Linked DNA regions of Saccharomyces cerevisiae S288C. The protein of the gene in region 3 binds, or shares a complex with, the protein of the main gene of each other region. Each region holds a gene or a part of one and is shown on either strand. Other genes may lie near its edges. A codon is read from its position in the direction of its gene.

What was found.
Region 1: the proteins of TAF10 (region 3) and SPT3 are in contact, whole or in part, in a cryo-EM structure (PDB 6T9I), measured with the Saccharomyces cerevisiae proteins. Residues at the interface, in NP_010451.3 of Saccharomyces cerevisiae: Phe120 (codon at 2,288), Ile124 (codon at 2,276), Asp127 (codon at 2,267), Tyr129 (codon at 2,261), Glu130 (codon at 2,258), Tyr131 (codon at 2,255), Arg133 (codon at 2,249), Ile134 (codon at 2,246), Arg135 (codon at 2,243), Ser137 (codon at 2,237), Val140 (codon at 2,228), Asn142 (codon at 2,222), Ala143 (codon at 2,219), Asn144 (codon at 2,216), Ser146 (codon at 2,210), Gln147 (codon at 2,207), Arg149 (codon at 2,201), Ala150 (codon at 2,198), Leu154 (codon at 2,186), Thr176 (codon at 2,120), Val181 (codon at 2,105), Glu194 (codon at 2,066), Tyr195 (codon at 2,063), Gly196 (codon at 2,060), Leu197 (codon at 2,057); in NP_010680.1 of Saccharomyces cerevisiae: Thr50 (codon at 1,367), Leu53 (codon at 1,358), Arg54 (codon at 1,355), Glu62 (codon at 1,331), Phe66 (codon at 1,319), Arg69 (codon at 1,310), His70 (codon at 1,307), Lys140 (codon at 1,097), Leu141 (codon at 1,094), Pro142 (codon at 1,091), Trp143 (codon at 1,088), Glu144 (codon at 1,085), Phe147 (codon at 1,076), Met148 (codon at 1,073), Phe149 (codon at 1,070), Asn150 (codon at 1,067), His152 (codon at 1,061), Pro153 (codon at 1,058), Leu154 (codon at 1,055), Arg318 (codon at 563), His319 (codon at 560), Arg320 (codon at 557), Ala321 (codon at 554), Leu322 (codon at 551), Lys326 (codon at 539), Leu330 (codon at 527).
Region 2: the proteins of TAF10 (region 3) and SPT7 are in contact, whole or in part, in a cryo-EM structure (PDB 6T9I), measured with the Saccharomyces cerevisiae proteins. Residues at the interface, in NP_010451.3 of Saccharomyces cerevisiae: Arg69 (codon at 2,441), Asp71 (codon at 2,435), Lys72 (codon at 2,432), Leu74 (codon at 2,426), Glu75 (codon at 2,423), Ile77 (codon at 2,417), Met80 (codon at 2,408), Ser83 (codon at 2,399), Thr84 (codon at 2,396), Pro85 (codon at 2,393), Pro86 (codon at 2,390), Ile87 (codon at 2,387), Ile88 (codon at 2,384), Pro89 (codon at 2,381), Asp90 (codon at 2,378), Ala91 (codon at 2,375), Val92 (codon at 2,372), Ile93 (codon at 2,369), Asp94 (codon at 2,366), Tyr95 (codon at 2,363), Tyr96 (codon at 2,360), Leu97 (codon at 2,357), Thr98 (codon at 2,354), Asn100 (codon at 2,348), Gly101 (codon at 2,345), Phe102 (codon at 2,342), Val109 (codon at 2,321), Leu112 (codon at 2,312), Leu113 (codon at 2,309), Leu115 (codon at 2,303); in NP_009637.1 of Saccharomyces cerevisiae: Arg892 (codon at 4,227), Phe893 (codon at 4,230), Asn896 (codon at 4,239), Leu899 (codon at 4,248), Gly900 (codon at 4,251), Leu901 (codon at 4,254), Thr902 (codon at 4,257), Met905 (codon at 4,266), His920 (codon at 4,311), Ile922 (codon at 4,317), Ser923 (codon at 4,320), Ile925 (codon at 4,326), Arg926 (codon at 4,329), Met927 (codon at 4,332), Gln929 (codon at 4,338), Ser930 (codon at 4,341), Lys973 (codon at 4,470), Asn974 (codon at 4,473), Arg976 (codon at 4,479), Ile979 (codon at 4,488), Phe982 (codon at 4,497), Met983 (codon at 4,500), Asn986 (codon at 4,509), Val990 (codon at 4,521), Ala991 (codon at 4,524), Asn994 (codon at 4,533), Gly995 (codon at 4,536), Phe996 (codon at 4,539), Glu997 (codon at 4,542), Thr998 (codon at 4,545).

The regions. Positions count from the first base shown.
Region 1 is NC_001136.10:1,255,652-1,260,209, reverse strand, and holds SPT3 (transcriptional regulator SPT3), read right to left. Parts: upstream 1,515-4,558; coding exon 501-1,514; downstream 1-500. Other genes in the region: SHE9 (She9p), read right to left, coding at 1-309; IAT4 (Iat4p), read left to right, coding at 2,154-2,852; E1 ubiquitin-activating protein UBA2, read left to right, coding at 3,363-4,558. UniProt on the Saccharomyces cerevisiae protein: Component of the transcription coactivator SAGA complex. SAGA acts as a general cofactor required for essentially all RNA polymerase II transcription. At the promoters, SAGA is required for transcription pre-initiation complex (PIC) recruitment.
Region 2 is NC_001134.8:399,229-406,804, reverse strand, and holds SPT7 (SAGA histone acetyltransferase complex subunit SPT7), read left to right. Parts: upstream 1-1,553; coding exon 1,554-5,552; downstream 5,553-7,576. Other genes in the region: E2 ubiquitin-conjugating protein UBC4, read left to right, coding at 1-177; AAA family ATPase SEC18, read left to right, coding at 5,915-7,576. UniProt on the Saccharomyces cerevisiae protein: Component of the transcription coactivator SAGA complex. SAGA acts as a general cofactor required for essentially all RNA polymerase II transcription. At the promoters, SAGA is required for transcription pre-initiation complex (PIC) recruitment.
Region 3 is NC_001136.10:787,536-792,093, reverse strand, and holds TAF10 (Taf10p), read right to left. Parts: upstream 2,646-4,558; coding exon 2,025-2,645; downstream 1-2,024. Other genes in the region: Hsp90 co-chaperone CDC37, read right to left, coding at 246-1,766; exocyst subunit SEC5, read left to right, coding at 2,873-4,558.

The DNA.
Region 1 (4,558 bases), 470 kb from region 3:
TTGAATTGATTTTTTGGCCTTGTTAACTTGAAAGGATAATTGATCTCGGTGGAAGTTAAACCTAGAATACAATTCATTTAATTTCTTTTTCAAGTGCTGCCATTGAAGTTCTATATTTTCTTTCCAAACAGCGTTATTAGGTGTCCGTATTTCATTTTTATTAGTGCTGCCTTTATCAGGAGTATCACCGTTCTGTAGAGAATATGAACTATAATGAAATGGCCTGGTGAAAGATGACGCCCTCAACATTAATTTGTTAATGCTGAATACTAAGGGTAAGTTTCTTGTCGCCCCATAGTATCTCAACATCACGCAATTTTTTAATCACTGAGTTCACCCGTTACAATTTCACAACGAAAAAGACCCCAATGATCAGATAGTCCTCTTTATAACGCGTATCTACGTACATAATCTTTATTTGTATTTTTCAATTCATTTGGCTCACATTTATCATACCAGAAGGAAACCCATGCACCTCCATGATGAAATTATACAAAAATTTACATGATAATTGGTTTAGAACTGAGTCTACCACCTTTAAAGTTGGTCAAAGCCCTATGCCTCATGTCAATTGTTTGTAGTACTCTCCAGGCTTCCTCTATATGCCTTGGTTTGAGCGGGTTTATAACATTTTCAGGTCCATCAAATAATCTTTTCTTTCTATGTAATGTGGATGATGCAAATTCAAAGTTAGTATTATCTTGGCTAGATTGCTGGGATTTGTCCTTTTGAGTCTGTAATACCTGTTCTCTTTGTTTGATTTTCAGAGCTGTTTCCGTCAAAGAACAGACAATCTCAAAAGTTAGAAACCCCAGTATATCAATCACATCATCATGGGGTTTCCCCTCAGTTAATTGCGAAATTCCAGACCAGTCCTTGAACCTTTTATTCTTCCTAAATGTAAAACTTGCCTGTCGACAATCGGACCAATGCACGTACTCCTCTTTAGTCATGTTTCGTGTTCTATCGTCAGCCATTTTCAGCCTTTTCAAAGTGACTATATTAGCTTCTCGTTCATCCTCATCCATATCATCATTGTCGTCATTATTTTCTAAAGGATGTTCATTGAACATAAACTGCAATTCCCATGGCAGCTTAATTTGGGATTTCTTGACCTTCATCATGTTTCCACCATCTTTTTCGTCTTTCTCGCCACCACCTGCTTTTTTCAAATCATCTTCACCACCTGCCCCAGGATTTCCAGTGCCACTCGCTACACCGGCACTAGCATCTTGGTCCTTGGCGTTTTTACGCAAATCCTTCCATGACAGATATGTTCTCAAACGATTGACTTTGGCCTTGTCGTGTCTGATCAAGAAAATGACGTCTTCAGGGAGAATGCTCCTACTTCCCCTAAGATGCGCCGTTTTGTTTGACTGTAAAAGAATTTCTATCACTTGACCCCTCACTATATCTTCTATCAGTGATGTGGTTTCTACGGGTGGGTCGTTAATTTCACCAGAGACAAACATCATCTGTTGAATCTCCACACGATACTTATGCTTGTCCATCATTCCTGCCCTAATCTCTTGAATTTTGGCACGGTACCTTGTATGCACTCTTCCCCGGGTTCAGAGTGTCTTCAACCTTACTTTTTACTTTTCGTTTCCGCCGATCTATATTACATGGTTCGGATTTTCTTCTTTTCTGTGCGCTGCGCTTGAAGCCTCAAGAAAGGGCAGCTTTGAACAAGACGTTCTTGCGATAGAGATGAATGAGAATGCATTGAACGCAATGTATACCTATTTTGGCGGCATAAAAAACTTGTTTTCGAGATTGCAGTTGAATCTGAATGTAGCGAGGAGACGAACAAAAAATTGGAGTTCCTACTGTATTGCAAAGAAACTAAGAGACGCCCGCTAATGCTGCCGGAAATGTACGGTGATCTCTTAAAGTTGATTGACCGATAACGCAAAAATAATGCAGCAAACTGTAGATAACTCTTTTTTATCGTAATATTTCTATTAGTATCCAGATATTTCACTCCAAATCACAGCAGACGTTGGTGTGAACGGCATCAGAGTCCCAGGGGCTGAGATAAGTGAAAAAAATGAAATGCCGCCGGCGTATATATAACAGTTATTGTACCTGATATTATGCCAAGTCACTCACTAATCTCGAGAAAATAATTCTAAGACATGTAACCGAACATCATGTCCTTCGAGAACAAACTGCCAACTCCATTAGAAAACAACGATGCTAAGGGCCATATGGTCTGTACCCTGAACAAGACTACGGATGCCAGAAGAGCAGCAGAGACTTTGTCTATTGCTTTTAGTAACTCGCCAGCGTTTCATTTTATCTGCAAGAAAATCTTAAATATTCCTCTAGCTGAGAAGGTGCCTACAAGGACAATAACCACCGATATCATATCGCCATTCCTGGATTCACCTTATGGTGAGATCTCCGAAGTTAATACTTTCGATGCTGTTGCAGTGTGGAGTCTTCCACCTCACGTTCCGAAGGCAAGGAGTAATGATGCAAAGTTCAACAAGGACTTTATTGACGATTTAAATGCTCGCGTAAAGCAAGTCATTCCAAATGGCATCAATTACTACTATCTTTTCTGTATTGGTAAGAACTTAAATGAGAAAGGAATCAGAGGTTCTGTAAGGACTATTTTTGAAGAGTACAAAAGGAGAGCAGACGAAGAAAATTGCGCCATTGTCCTTGAAGCTATTGCCGAGCATGCTAAATCTGTGTACGAATATTTTGGATTTAGAAATTACATGACGTTCAAATACGGTGAGTGTGAGGTCGACTCTAACGGCAATTGCGATCCGAATGGTGAAGGGTTCACAGCCTATTTAATGATATATCATAAGGACGGTAATAAAGTCTTAAAAGAGTAGTTTTTGAGCTTTTTCTTTCCCCCCTTCAAGTAATTATTTAGAATAAAAAGTAGTGTTTAAAGACGACATTTTGGAGCATGCACTGTATAACCAGGTTCAAAAAAATTTCGCCTGCTATTGTTTTCTTTATTTTGAAGATGTGAGAAAAGTCTCATATCTAGTGAGCTTCAGTCTGTTTTTAGATGTAGTTAGCAATTACTATTTTAGGTATTTCTTTGCGCGGTTACGGTCTCAAGAATTTATATTACCACAAAACCTATGTAAGCTAGATCTTCTTAGCGAAAGTGGTTCAGTGGTTAGAATTCATGCTTCCCAAGCATGGGGCCCGGGTTCGATTCCCGGCTTCCGCATTTTTTGTGCAATTTTTTTTTATACTCTATTTTCAAGTTAAAGTTTTTCAAAGGCGAAGTATGTTTACGCTAAATCAAGATATTTGGATGAGCAATCCACTAATTGCGTACTTCAACAGACACACAAGATCAGGAGCGCTACGCCAAACAAGAAAAGAAAATGCCAAGGGAAACAAGTTTGGTAACAATCATCGGTGAAGATAGTTACAAGAAATTACGGTCCTCAAGATGTCTTCTGGTCGGTGCTGGGGGCATAGGGTCTGAATTGTTAAAGGATATAATCTTGATGGAATTTGGTGAAATACATATTGTCGATTTGGACACCATTGACCTTTCGAACTTAAACAGGCAATTTCTTTTTAGACAAAAAGATATTAAACAACCGAAGTCTACCACAGCCGTAAAAGCAGTACAGCATTTCAATAACTCTAAGTTAGTGCCTTACCAAGGAAATGTTATGGACATTTCTACCTTCCCACTGCATTGGTTTGAGCAATTTGACATTATCTTCAATGCTCTTGATAACTTGGCCGCAAGACGGTATGTCAATAAAATATCACAGTTTCTATCACTGCCCTTAATAGAATCTGGAACAGCTGGATTTGATGGATACATGCAGCCTATTATCCCCGGGAAAACTGAGTGTTTTGAATGTACAAAGAAGGAAACACCAAAGACTTTTCCTGTGTGTACTATCAGGTCCACTCCTTCTCAGCCAATTCATTGCATTGTTTGGGCGAAAAACTTTCTATTTAACCAGCTATTTGCGTCAGAGACCTCTGGAAATGAAGATGATAACAACCAGGATTGGGGTACAGATGATGCTGAAGAAATTAAGCGCATTAAACAAGAAACTAATGAATTGTATGAATTGCAAAAAATTATCATATCAAGAGATGCATCCCGTATTCCAGAGATTCTTAATAAATTATTCATTCAGGATATAAATAAACTGCTAGCCATTGAAAATTTATGGAAAACGAGAACAAAGCCAGTACCATTATCAGACTCTCAAATAAATACTCCTACTAAAACAGCTCAGTCTGCCTCTAATTCTGTTGGCACAATACAGGAGCAAATTAGTAATTTCATTAATATTACACAAAAATTAATGGATCGCTATCCCAAAGAGCAAAATCATATTGAATTTGATAAAGATGATGCTGATACTTTGGAATTCGTCGCAACTGCTGCGAACATAAGGTCACACATATTCAATATTCCAATGAAGTCCGTATTTGACATCAAGCAAATTGCTGGTAACATTATCCCGGCTATTGCAACAACGAATGCTATCGTTGCCGGTGCATCGTCATTGATTTCACTGCGCGTTTTAAATCTTTTGAAATATGCCCC
Region 2 (7,576 bases), on a different chromosome or scaffold from region 3:
AAGGATCAATGGTCTCCAGCTCTAACTCTATCGAAGGTCCTATTATCCATCTGTTCTTTGTTAACAGACGCTAATCCTGACGATCCTTTAGTACCAGAAATCGCTCATATCTACAAGACTGACAGACCCAAGTACGAAGCTACAGCCAGAGAATGGACAAAGAAATACGCTGTATAAACAGAAGTCCTTACTCAGCTGAAAAAGAGAAGCAAGATTTATATGGGATTGGACGATGAAAAGAATATTAGATACAATGTATTTAAGAAAGAATACAATAAAATATATGTATATTCTATCTCTAATAACATAGATTTACTGATATAAGATATAAGACTATTGTTGGCAACAGTACAGGGGAACCTTTTTTTTTTTTTCCAAACAACTCGAATCGTAAACCTTAATTTAATTTATTCAGGGGAGATTCATGAACATTTTTTTCCTCGAACAGTATGGAGAATTTTTGCTTAGTTACATGCACGCAAGCGCGGGTATATCCCGCATATATTTCAGTTGTGGTTCATATTTGACCTAACTTGTCGAGGGAGCGTCAACGTTAACCGTACCTTTTTCATTTCTAGTCTATCTGTAGGTTAATTACTATTGTCATTAACATCATTTCTGGGGTGAAGCCTATTTAAATTTTTGAAGTTCAACGCATAGCTAGTATATGTAATCAACGATCAATGACTGGTTCTCTGTTTGGCAAAAATTCTGAGGAGCATTACACTGTACTAAGGAGGCAGAAGAATAACTGCAGGAGTAGCCAAAAAAATCTCCGCGACGGGGAATTGAACCCCGATCTGGCACGCGACAAGCGCCCATTCTGACCATTAAACTATCACGGAAGAAACAAAGCACTCACGATGGGGGTCGAACCCATAATCTTCTGATTAGAAGTCAGACGCGTTGCCATTACGCCACGCGAGCTACTATTTGTTGAAGGTTTTATGAAATAACGAAAACATGTTTCCTCTAAAGATGGATGTGCTTCCAGTATTATTCTTGTATGACAATTCATTTGTTTTTGGTGTCGGCTTGTATTAAAGACTTATATCTGTAATATATCTGTATAAATACCAATGCAAGGATATATTAAATGAAAGTTAGCATATTTCAATTGGCTTTTTAGAATAAAGACGAAATTTTTTTAAAGGTAAAATACCCCACTGAAACCTTATGCTCTTTTATTGTACATATAGGAAAATTGGTCAAATGCTGGCCAGCTTTAACTGAAATAAATCTCTACAGGAATGCTTGTTGGGACTAACTCCAGTGAATAATTATTAGGGCTGCGATTATATTCTTGATGGTACGGGTAACTTTCTAATATTTCAGATCCAAGTAATGAAAAGTGAATGTACACTCGTAAGTCTTCAATTATGTTAGATGTACAAAGGAAAAAAGATCATTGGAGAAGTTGGCAAAATACATCTTTTATTTATTTAGCAAGTCAAACAATAAGATCTTTCCTTTTTTCAGATTGAACTTCGGATCAGTGAAAATTGTTGGTTACTCTTTAAACTGTAACACTACAAAGAAATTAAGTCTGAATAATGACTGAAAGAATACCAATAAAGAATTATCAAAGAACAAATGCCAAAGCTTTACTTAAATTGACTGAAAAACTTTTTAACAAGAACTTTTTTGATCTCTATTTAACCTCTCAGCAATTGGTCGTTCTTGAATACCTGCTGTCGATTTCAAGTGAAGAAGACAAACTGAAAGCATGGGACTATTTCTTAAAGGGAAACATAGCATTAAATGTCGAAAAATCATTTCCATTAACCCAAGAAGAAGAACATCACGGAGCGGTCTCTCCTGCCGTTGACACACGATCAGATGATGTATCATCACAAACAATTAAGGACAATAACAATACTAATACCAACACCAGTATCAGCAATGAAAATCATGTTGAAAATGAAATTGAAGATAAAGGCGATAACGCAATAGCAAATGAAGATAATTTTGTGAATAATGACGAAAGTGATAATGTTGAAGAAGACTTATTCAAATTAGATCTAGAGGACTTGAAGCAGCAAATAAGCGGAACAAGGTTTATTGGAAACTTATCCTTGAAAATCAGATACGTCTTGTGGCAGTGCGCCATAGATTATATATACTGTGATCGTAATGAGTTTGGTGATGAAAATGATACAGAATACACCCTATTAGATGTTGAAGAGAAGGAGGAAGAGGAAATTGGTAAAAATGAGAAGCCACAAAACAAAGAAGGTATTTCGAAGTTCGCCGAGGATGAAGATTACGACGATGAAGACGAGAACTATGATGAAGACAGTACAGACGTAAAAAATGTCGATGATCCTCCAAAAAATCTCGATTCTATTTCCTCTTCTAATATCGAAATTGACGATGAACGACGCTTGGTGCTAAATATCTCAATATCAAAAGAAACACTGTCAAAGTTAAAAACAAATAATGTAGAAGAAATTATGGGAAATTGGAACAAAATTTACCACAGTTTTGAATACGATAAAGAAACTATGATAAAGCGATTAAAACTTGAAGAAAGCGATAAAATGATAGAGAAAGGAAAGAAGAAACGAAGTCGAAGTGATTTAGAAGCAGCTACCGATGAACAAGATCGCGAAAATACAAATGATGAGCCAGATACTAATCAAAAATTGCCCACTCCTGAAGGTTCAACATTCAGCGATACTGGGAACAAGCGCCCCAAACAAAGTAATTTAGATTTAACAGTCAATCTAGGCATCGAAAATTTATCATTAAAGCACCTTCTATCATCTATCCAGCAAAAAAAATCCCAATTAGGAATATCAGATTACGAATTAAAACATCTGATTATGGATGTCAGAAAAAATCGGTCAAAATGGACATCGGATGAAAGAATTGGGCAAGAGGAATTATACGAAGCCTGTGAAAAGGTTGTTTTGGAACTTAGAAACTACACTGAGCATTCTACACCATTTCTGAATAAAGTGAGCAAAAGAGAAGCCCCCAATTATCATCAAATCATCAAAAAGTCCATGGACCTGAATACTGTTTTAAAAAAACTGAAAAGCTTTCAATATGACTCCAAACAAGAATTTGTAGACGATATTATGCTAATATGGAAAAATTGTTTGACCTATAATTCAGATCCTTCACATTTTTTGAGAGGGCATGCTATTGCTATGCAGAAGAAATCTCTTCAGTTGATTCGCATGATTCCAAATATCACAATCCGAAACAGGGCTGATTTAGAAAAGGAAATTGAAGATATGGAAAAAGACAAAGACTACGAATTAGATGAGGAAGAGGAAGTTGCTGGTTCTGGAAGAAAAGGATTGAATATGGGAGCTCATATGTTGGCCAAAGAGAATGGCAAGGTGTCAGAAAAAGATAGCTCTAAAACCGTCAAGGATGAAGCACCAACCAATGATGACAAACTAACTTCTGTCATCCCTGAGGGGGAAAAAGAGAAAGATAAAACTGCTTCATCTACTGTAACGGTACACGAAAATGTAAATAAGAACGAAATAAAAGAAAATGGGAAAAATGAAGAGCAAGATATGGTTGAGGAAAGTAGTAAGACTGAGGATTCATCAAAAGATGCTGATGCTGCCAAAAAGGATACGGAAGACGGACTACAAGATAAAACTGCAGAAAATAAGGAGGCTGGGGAAAATAATGAAGAGGAAGAGGATGATGATGACGAAGATGAAGACGAAGACATGGTCGACTCCCAATCTTATTTACTTGAAAAGGATGACGATAGAGACGATTTGGAAATATCCGTGTGGAAAACTGTAACTGCCAAAGTTCGTGCGGAAATTTGCTTAAAAAGAACTGAATATTTTAAAAATGGAAAATTAAATAGTGATTCAGAGGCGTTTTTGAAAAACCCACAAAGAATGAAAAGGTTCGACCAGCTTTTTCTTGAATATAAAGAGCAGAAAGCTTTAGAATCATATCGTCAAAAAATAGAGCAAAATTCCATTATGAAAAATGGCTTTGGAACAGTACTAAAACAGGAAGACGATGACCAATTGCAGTTTCATAATGATCACTCTTTAAATGGAAATGAAGCTTTTGAAAAGCAACCCAATGATATTGAGTTAGATGATACCAGATTCCTACAGGAATATGATATTAGTAACGCCATTCCTGACATAGTATACGAGGGAGTAAATACTAAAACATTAGACAAGATGGAAGACGCTTCCGTGGACCGCATGCTTCAAAATGGTATCAACAAACAAAGCAGATTTCTGGCTAACAAGGATTTAGGACTAACACCTAAAATGAACCAAAATATCACACTGATTCAGCAAATTAGGCACATATGCCATAAAATATCCCTGATCAGAATGTTACAGAGCCCTTTATCGGCTCAAAACTCCAGAAGCAATCCCAACGCTTTCCTTAACAACCACATTTATAATTACACTATTATTGATGACTCACTCGATATTGATCCGGTGTCACAGCTTCCAACGCATGATTACAAAAACAACAGGGAGCTGATATGGAAATTCATGCATAAGAACATATCTAAGGTTGCTATGGCCAATGGGTTTGAAACTGCCCATCCATCAGCAATAAACATGCTTACTGAAATCGCCGGGGATTACCTATCTAATCTGATAAAGACTTTGAAGCTTCATCATGAAACTAACTCCTTAAATAGAGGAACAAATGTGGAAATGCTGCAAACAACACTGTTGGAAAACGGTATCAACAGGCCAGACGATCTATTTTCCTATGTTGAATCTGAATTTGGTAAAAAAACTAAGAAACTTCAGGACATCAAACAGAAACTAGAAAGCTTTTTGAGAGCCTTATTAAGGCCAACTTTGCAGGAGTTGTCCGAGAGAAACTTTGAAGACGAGAGCCAAAGCTTTTTTACAGGTGACTTTGCCAGCGAATTGACTGGTGAAGACTTCTTTGGTTTTAGAGAGCTTGGATTAGAAAAGGAGTTTGGAGTTTTGAGTTCATCTGTTCCATTACAGTTACTGACTACTCAGTTTCAAACTGTTGACGGGGAAACCAAAGTGCAGGCCAAAAAGATCCAACCGGAAGAATCAGACAGCATTGTGTATAAGAAAATTACAAAAGGTATGCTGGATGCTGGTTCATTCTGGAATACTCTACTTCCCCTATTACAAAAAGATTATGAACGTTCCAAGGCCTATATAGCAAAGCAAAGCAAGTCATCTGCAAATGATAAAACCTCAATGACTTCCACAGAAGACAATTCTTTCGCTTTACTAGAAGAGGATCAGTTTGTCTCAAAGAAAACCGCAACGAAGGCAAGATTACCTCCTACTGGTAAGATAAGTACCACATACAAAAAGAAACCGATCGCAAGCGCGTTTATACTTCCAGAAGAAGACTTGGAAAACGACGTAAAAGCGGATCCAACAACAACTGTAAACGCCAAAGTGGGTGCAGAAAATGATGGAGATTCTTCCTTATTTTTGCGAACGCCTCAACCTTTAGATCCTTTGGATATGGATGATGCTTTTGATGATACCAATATGGGCAGCAATAGTTCATTTAGCTTGAGCCTTCCTCGCCTTAATCAATAATGAGCGCGCTAAATAGTTGAATATTTTATCTTTAATTAAATACATTTGCTTATAAAGGTTGTACTATTTACTTGTAGTTGATGTAGGATTCCAATTCAATGCACTTTAATACTCAGAGTACGCTTTATACTTCTGCAGTACCCTCTCTAAAATGTCACCTAGTATTTTTTTCTCTTTACACAAGCGTAGCGTCACTAAAAAAAGGTATTTCCCATGGGTTAATTCGGTATCACACTATACGTTAGGCGTACCAAATTTCGAGATTCATGAAATTGGCTTATTCGTAGCCTTTAAGTACTACCGTTGTTTCTCTCAAAGATAAGAGCAAATAGTACCGTATATTCAGCCTTTATAAATTGAGTATGTTCAAGATACCTGGTTTTGGAAAAGCTGCTGCAAATCATACTCCACCAGATATGACAAACATGGATACCCGTACACGCCATTTAAAGGTGTCAAACTGTCCAAATAACTCCTATGCACTCGCAAACGTAGCTGCTGTCTCACCAAATGATTTCCCTAATAACATTTATATTATTATCGATAATTTATTTGTTTTCACAACTAGACACTCCAACGACATTCCACCGGGAACCATTGGATTTAACGGTAACCAGCGTACCTGGGGTGGTTGGTCCCTAAATCAAGACGTGCAAGCAAAAGCATTTGATTTATTCAAGTATTCCGGTAAGCAATCGTATCTTGGTTCAATAGATATAGATATCTCATTCAGAGCTAGAGGTAAGGCGGTAAGCACGGTATTCGATCAAGATGAGTTAGCCAAACAATTTGTTCGTTGCTACGAATCTCAAATATTTTCTCCCACCCAGTACCTTATCATGGAGTTCCAAGGCCATTTCTTTGACTTAAAAATTAGAAATGTCCAAGCAATCGATTTGGGTGATATTGAACCAACCTCCGCTGTTGCAACTGGGATAGAGACAAAGGGAATTTTGACAAAACAAACACAAATTAATTTTTTCAAAGGAAGAGATGGTTTAGTTAATTTGAAATCATCAAATTCATTAAGACCAAGATCAAATGCTGTGATCAGACCGGATTTCAAGTTTGAAGATTTGGGTGTCGGTGGTTTGGATAAAGAGTTTACTAAAATTTTCAGAAGAGCGTTTGCAAGTCGAATCTTTCCTCCTTCAGTTATAGAAAAACTGGGTATTTCTCATGTTAAAGGTTTGCTATTGTACGGTCCTCCAGGTACTGGTAAGACCTTAATTGCAAGAAAGATTGGTACAATGCTGAATGCCAAAGAGCCCAAAATCGTCAATGGTCCAGAAATTTTGAGTAAGTACGTTGGTTCTTCAGAAGAAAACATTCGTAATTTATTTAAGGATGCAGAAGCAGAATATAGGGCCAAGGGTGAGGAATCTTCCTTACATATTATTATTTTCGATGAGCTGGATTCTGTTTTCAAGCAGAGAGGTTCAAGAGGTGATGGTACCGGTGTAGGGGACAATGTAGTTAATCAATTGTTAGCTAAAATGGATGGTGTTGATCAATTGAATAATATTTTGGTTATTGGTATGACCAATCGTAAAGATTTAATAGACAGTGCTCTTTTGCGTCCAGGTAGATTTGAAGTCCAAGTTGAAATTCATTTACCCGATGAAAAAGGAAGACTCCAAATTTTCGACATTCAGACGAAGAAAATGAGGGAAAATAATATGATGAGCGACGATGTTAACTTAGCTGAGTTAGCTGCGTTAACAAAAAACTTCTCTGGTGCTGAGATTGAGGGTTTAGTGAAGAGTGCAAGTTCTTTTGCAATCAACAAAACCGTCAACATCGGGAAAGGTGCCACAAAACTTAACACTAAAGATATAGCAAAACTTAAAGTAACAAGAGAAGACTTTTTAAATGCACTCAACGATGTTACTCCCGCTTTTGGGATTAGTGAAGAAGATTTGAAAACATGTGTGGAAGGTGGAATGATGCTTTATTCCGAACGAGTTAACTCAATATTGAAGAACGGAGCCCGTTACGTCCGCCAAGTTCGCGAGAGTGATAAA
Region 3 (4,558 bases):
TCCGATTCTTTGTGTAGTATATACAAATTACAAAAACACACACTGAGAAAAACATGCACTAATAAAAAATAAGATATTATGTACTAACGTAGGAAAGCAGGTACAAAACCTCTGCTGTAATTTCACGATTTTCTTTATTGATCATTAATTTTCTTCTTTTTTTTTTTTGTATTATGTATAAATGAAAATAACAATAAAAAAGGAAGTAGATGCACGCTGCACCAGTAAAATAGCTACATAAATTTCTAGTCAACAGTGTCGGCAGTATGTTTGACCTCTTCATGGTTATCTCCGCCACCATCACGGTCGTTTAAGGACAGATTCTCCATAGTGGCGTCTTCATGGTCCTGTTCGTATTGATCTTTCAAACTTTGAAAGTCTTTCTCGTTTTCTAAGATCGCTTTTATTCCAATAATGTCAATGTCATTAAACACTTCCAAAAGTTTCTCAGCCTCTTCAATTGGTATATCTTCAAAGACTTTATTAATATTATCCAAATTTTTGGTCATTATGGCTTCTTGCATTTTTTCCGGTATTAAAGTTTTGAAAACTTTAACCTTTTTCATCTCTTCTGGATCTTTAGAATTGAAGTCTGGCAAGTTTACTTCTAATTCTGTAGAATCATCTAGAGATTTCAATTGAATCGTCTCTACTCCTTCAGCATTCGATTCATCCATTTCCTCTTGTTGTAAAATTTTGGAACGTTTTTGAATGTGCAAAAATTTTTCTTGAACTGATCTCAAAAAAGACTCTTTACCCATTGGCTTGTCCTTGTTGAAGATAACCTTCTCGAAAAACATATTAATGACATTTGATAGTTCCATTGGATTTAAATATGGAATTTTCTTCATGTCGTAGATTTCCTTAATGTAGGCCATCAATTCGGATTGATGAATGACTTGCAAAGTCATCTTATCGTCACCATGTAACTGATACTCAAAGGCCTTCATCATTAAGGCGTCCTTTTGTTGTTCTGAAATAATAGGTAAGTGCTCCAGTAAGAATTTCTGAGATTTTGAGTACTCATTAATGGATATTTTACCGAATTCTTCAGTTTCCTTGGCCAGTTTCATAGGATCATCTTTAAAATCGATGAAAGTTTGCGGAACTGATGATTTTGCTAGTTTATTAAGAATATTAGACTCTGCAGCGCTCGAAAGAGCTTCTGAAGGAGTTGCTTCCAGTGGCTTAGCCCCCCCCTTTTGCTTGTTCATAAAGCTACTATCAAAGCCTGTATGAATGTCTTCAGATGAAATGTGTGCATTTTTCTCCTTGTATAATTCATCTAATTTCTTCTTAGCCTCTACAGTTACTGAATCGATCTTAGCCCTATGTTTCAAAATAGCATCCCTTATGAGAGATGGGCTCTTCGAGTCTTTGCCCTCTTTGTCTAAATCTTTTGCTAATTGTTCAAAAAGATCTTCAACCATTTCATTGTATGTTGCAATCTCAGGATCAACATTTTCCCCTTTACTTTTCTCCATCTTATCAAAATTTGCATTCAAGAATTTGGTAACGGCTGGCAAATCAGTAAGAGAACTTTCAGGTAAATTACTCAAAATTCTGTCCACTCGTTTGTTCAAATGAGAATACATATCCACTTGTGTCTCCAAATTTTTGATATCTTGGTTCCTTTTGAATCGCTGTTCATGGATACTCTGTTGTTTCCATTTAATGAACGATTTCTTGTCCACATTAGGATGCACCTCGACATCAGAATCATCTGATAGTTCAATTTTATCCCACTTAGAGTAATCAATGGCCATTTTTGACTTATGTAGTTGTTCCGTAGTACGATAGCTCGATAGTTTTTTTATCGTGATGAAGTGTTGGTGCAACGGAGGTGTTCTCTTATGTGGCAATCTTTCATGATCCTTCAGTAAAAAATCGTGAAAAACGGATGTTCAAAAAGCGTGTCAAATTTGCGTGAATAAGTGCTCTAATCAATCTAATAACGAATCGTGTATTTAAAAGAGTTGCATACTGCTACACTATATACATATTTCATTTCCATTTGTTAGCCACTAACGATAAAAGTCTGGGCGACCTATATTGAGCCCGTATTCAGCAACAGCGCTACTGAGATCGTTCACCGTCAGAACAACTTTGCTTGCTGTAGTCTTCTCATTCTGTTGATGTTGTTGTTGTGAAATCTGCTGCACGCCAGGCTGTTGCTGTCCTTGCAATAGCTGCCTAGCTCTCGCCTGACTGTTGTTAGCATTAGATACCGCTACGGAAGACCTGATCCTGGAATATTCGTAGGCATCCTTAGCTATATCACTAACAAATTTCTGAGTAGCAAGTGCTAAAAGTCGTTTCACTCGTACATCTGCTACGTTAAACCCGTTTTTGGTTAAATAGTAGTCTATTACTGCATCGGGAATGATAGGAGGAGTACTGTCCATCATCTCTAGAATCTCCTCCAGAGTCTTATCTTTTCTTGTAAATTCGGGTATACCAAATGCATTTTCACTCCCATCATCCACTACAGCCTCTCTCTTTTGCTTCTTCTTCATGTTTTCTGCGACAGAGTCATCATTATCATTGTCCCCATCATCGGCTCCCGCAACCGATGGAAAAGGTGTTTCTAATTGTCCTTCTTGATTATCATCAAACTCCGCATCGTAATCTTCCTCAAAATCCATAGTTTCAGTTATTCTTTCCTCTGTTCTTCGCTGCCAGTTCTTTTTAGCTTAGGCATGAATGCTGAATCTGCAGCTTCTTTAATTTTTCGTTTCTGTTTTCAACTTGAAAAAACAAAAGTATCAACTCCTACTATTCAACTAAAGTAACAAAAATAAGCTGCGTTAAAGCTGCTAAACTAGGAAAGAAGTTTCTGTTGAAATAAAGTAGCGAAAAAAAGTTTGGTACCATGGATAGGTTTCAAATTGGCGACGAGCAACTACTTCGTTTTTATCAGTTGAAGACTATTAATCCGACCCATTCCTGGGCCCAAGATTCCTCAAAATTGAATAATGAAGAGGCTACAAGCAATGAACTTGGCGTTGAAACGTCATTCGACATATTAAAAGACTTCAAATATGGCAATCAAATTAGCATTGACAAGGAATCGAGAGCATATTTAAACGATGAGTCGTTAAGTTATATTAGAGATCCCTTGAATGGACAAGAAATGTCTAAAGAATTGCAACATCTACCAAATGATTCAATGCGGTTGAACTATCTTGTCAACAGTAAACAATTCAACGTCAAAGCCTTTCTGAGAGATATGCACAAACAAGACTCTTTCAATGATCTAAATAACTCACTGGACAGGTTGGACAGTGATATACAAGACCAATCTATACATTTGAAACAATTGGTTGGTAAAAATTTCACCAAGTATGTTAAGATTAAAAACAAGTTAGACCAAATTTACAAAGAATTTGACGAGAAAACGAATGAAAAAAACCAATGTGATTCACCAAAAGAAAATCAAATAAATGTGGAAAGCTTAAATAAAAAGGTCGACGAGGTTATTAGAACAACAACTTTCAAACTGAAACCGCTAATGGATAACTATCAGAAAATTTTGAATTACCAGGCCACCAAAAAATTTATTGAATTGAATAAGTTTTACTTCAACCTACCCAAATCTTTAAAGAGATGTTTGACTAACAACGATTTCAATGAGTTCATTATCGAATATTCAAAAGGTCTTACGCTCCGTCGCCGTTTCAACCAGAGTTCAGATGCTTCACAATCTCTTGTTATAAAAAGAATTTGGACTCAAATAGAAAATTTATTAGTCACGTATAAAGATCTGATTTGGAACAGTTTAATAAATTCAAATTTTAACATTGACCAACCCCAAGAAACAATTTTGTCCCTCTTTTCAAAATTGTTGAACTTAGAAAACTTTATCAATAATAATCAAAGAGAAAGTGAAAGTGGTAACAAGAACACAACTTCATCATCCAATGAAAATCCAATCCTAAGATGGATGTCCATCAAAATGAATGGCTTTCAGAATGAACTGAACGAGTTGTCTGGCCATATGATTAGTAAAATCATTCATTCTCAAAGGCTTATATTACAAAACAATACTAATCAAGATAAAAGTCAAGGGTGCGTGGAGCTGTCGTATTATTTGAAAATCAATCAATTATTCCAAATAATAAGTGATACGGGCAAGGATAGTGAAGGTTTGAAAAGTACCGTTGAACCCAATAAAGTTAACACCATTTCTGGAACCAGCTATCTAAATTTGAATTGCCAACCCAGCTCTCAAGGACTAACTGATTCCCCAACTATCATTGAAATGTGGCTATTAATCTTAAAATATATTAACGACCTGTGGAAAATTTGTGATCAATTTATAGAATTCTGGGAACACATTGAAAAGTTCCTCGATGGGACTTACCAAAATTCCATTATAAATGAAAAAAGAAAAGAAAACATTTTGATCGGTGATTCTAATATTATTGAATCATACCAAAAAAGCTTGATCTTGAAGGAAGAACAGATTAACGAGGTTAGGTTAAAGGGCGAGGAATTCATCACTTCAGTCTCACAAAATTTAATATCATTTTTCACATCTTCTCAATCATCTCTACCA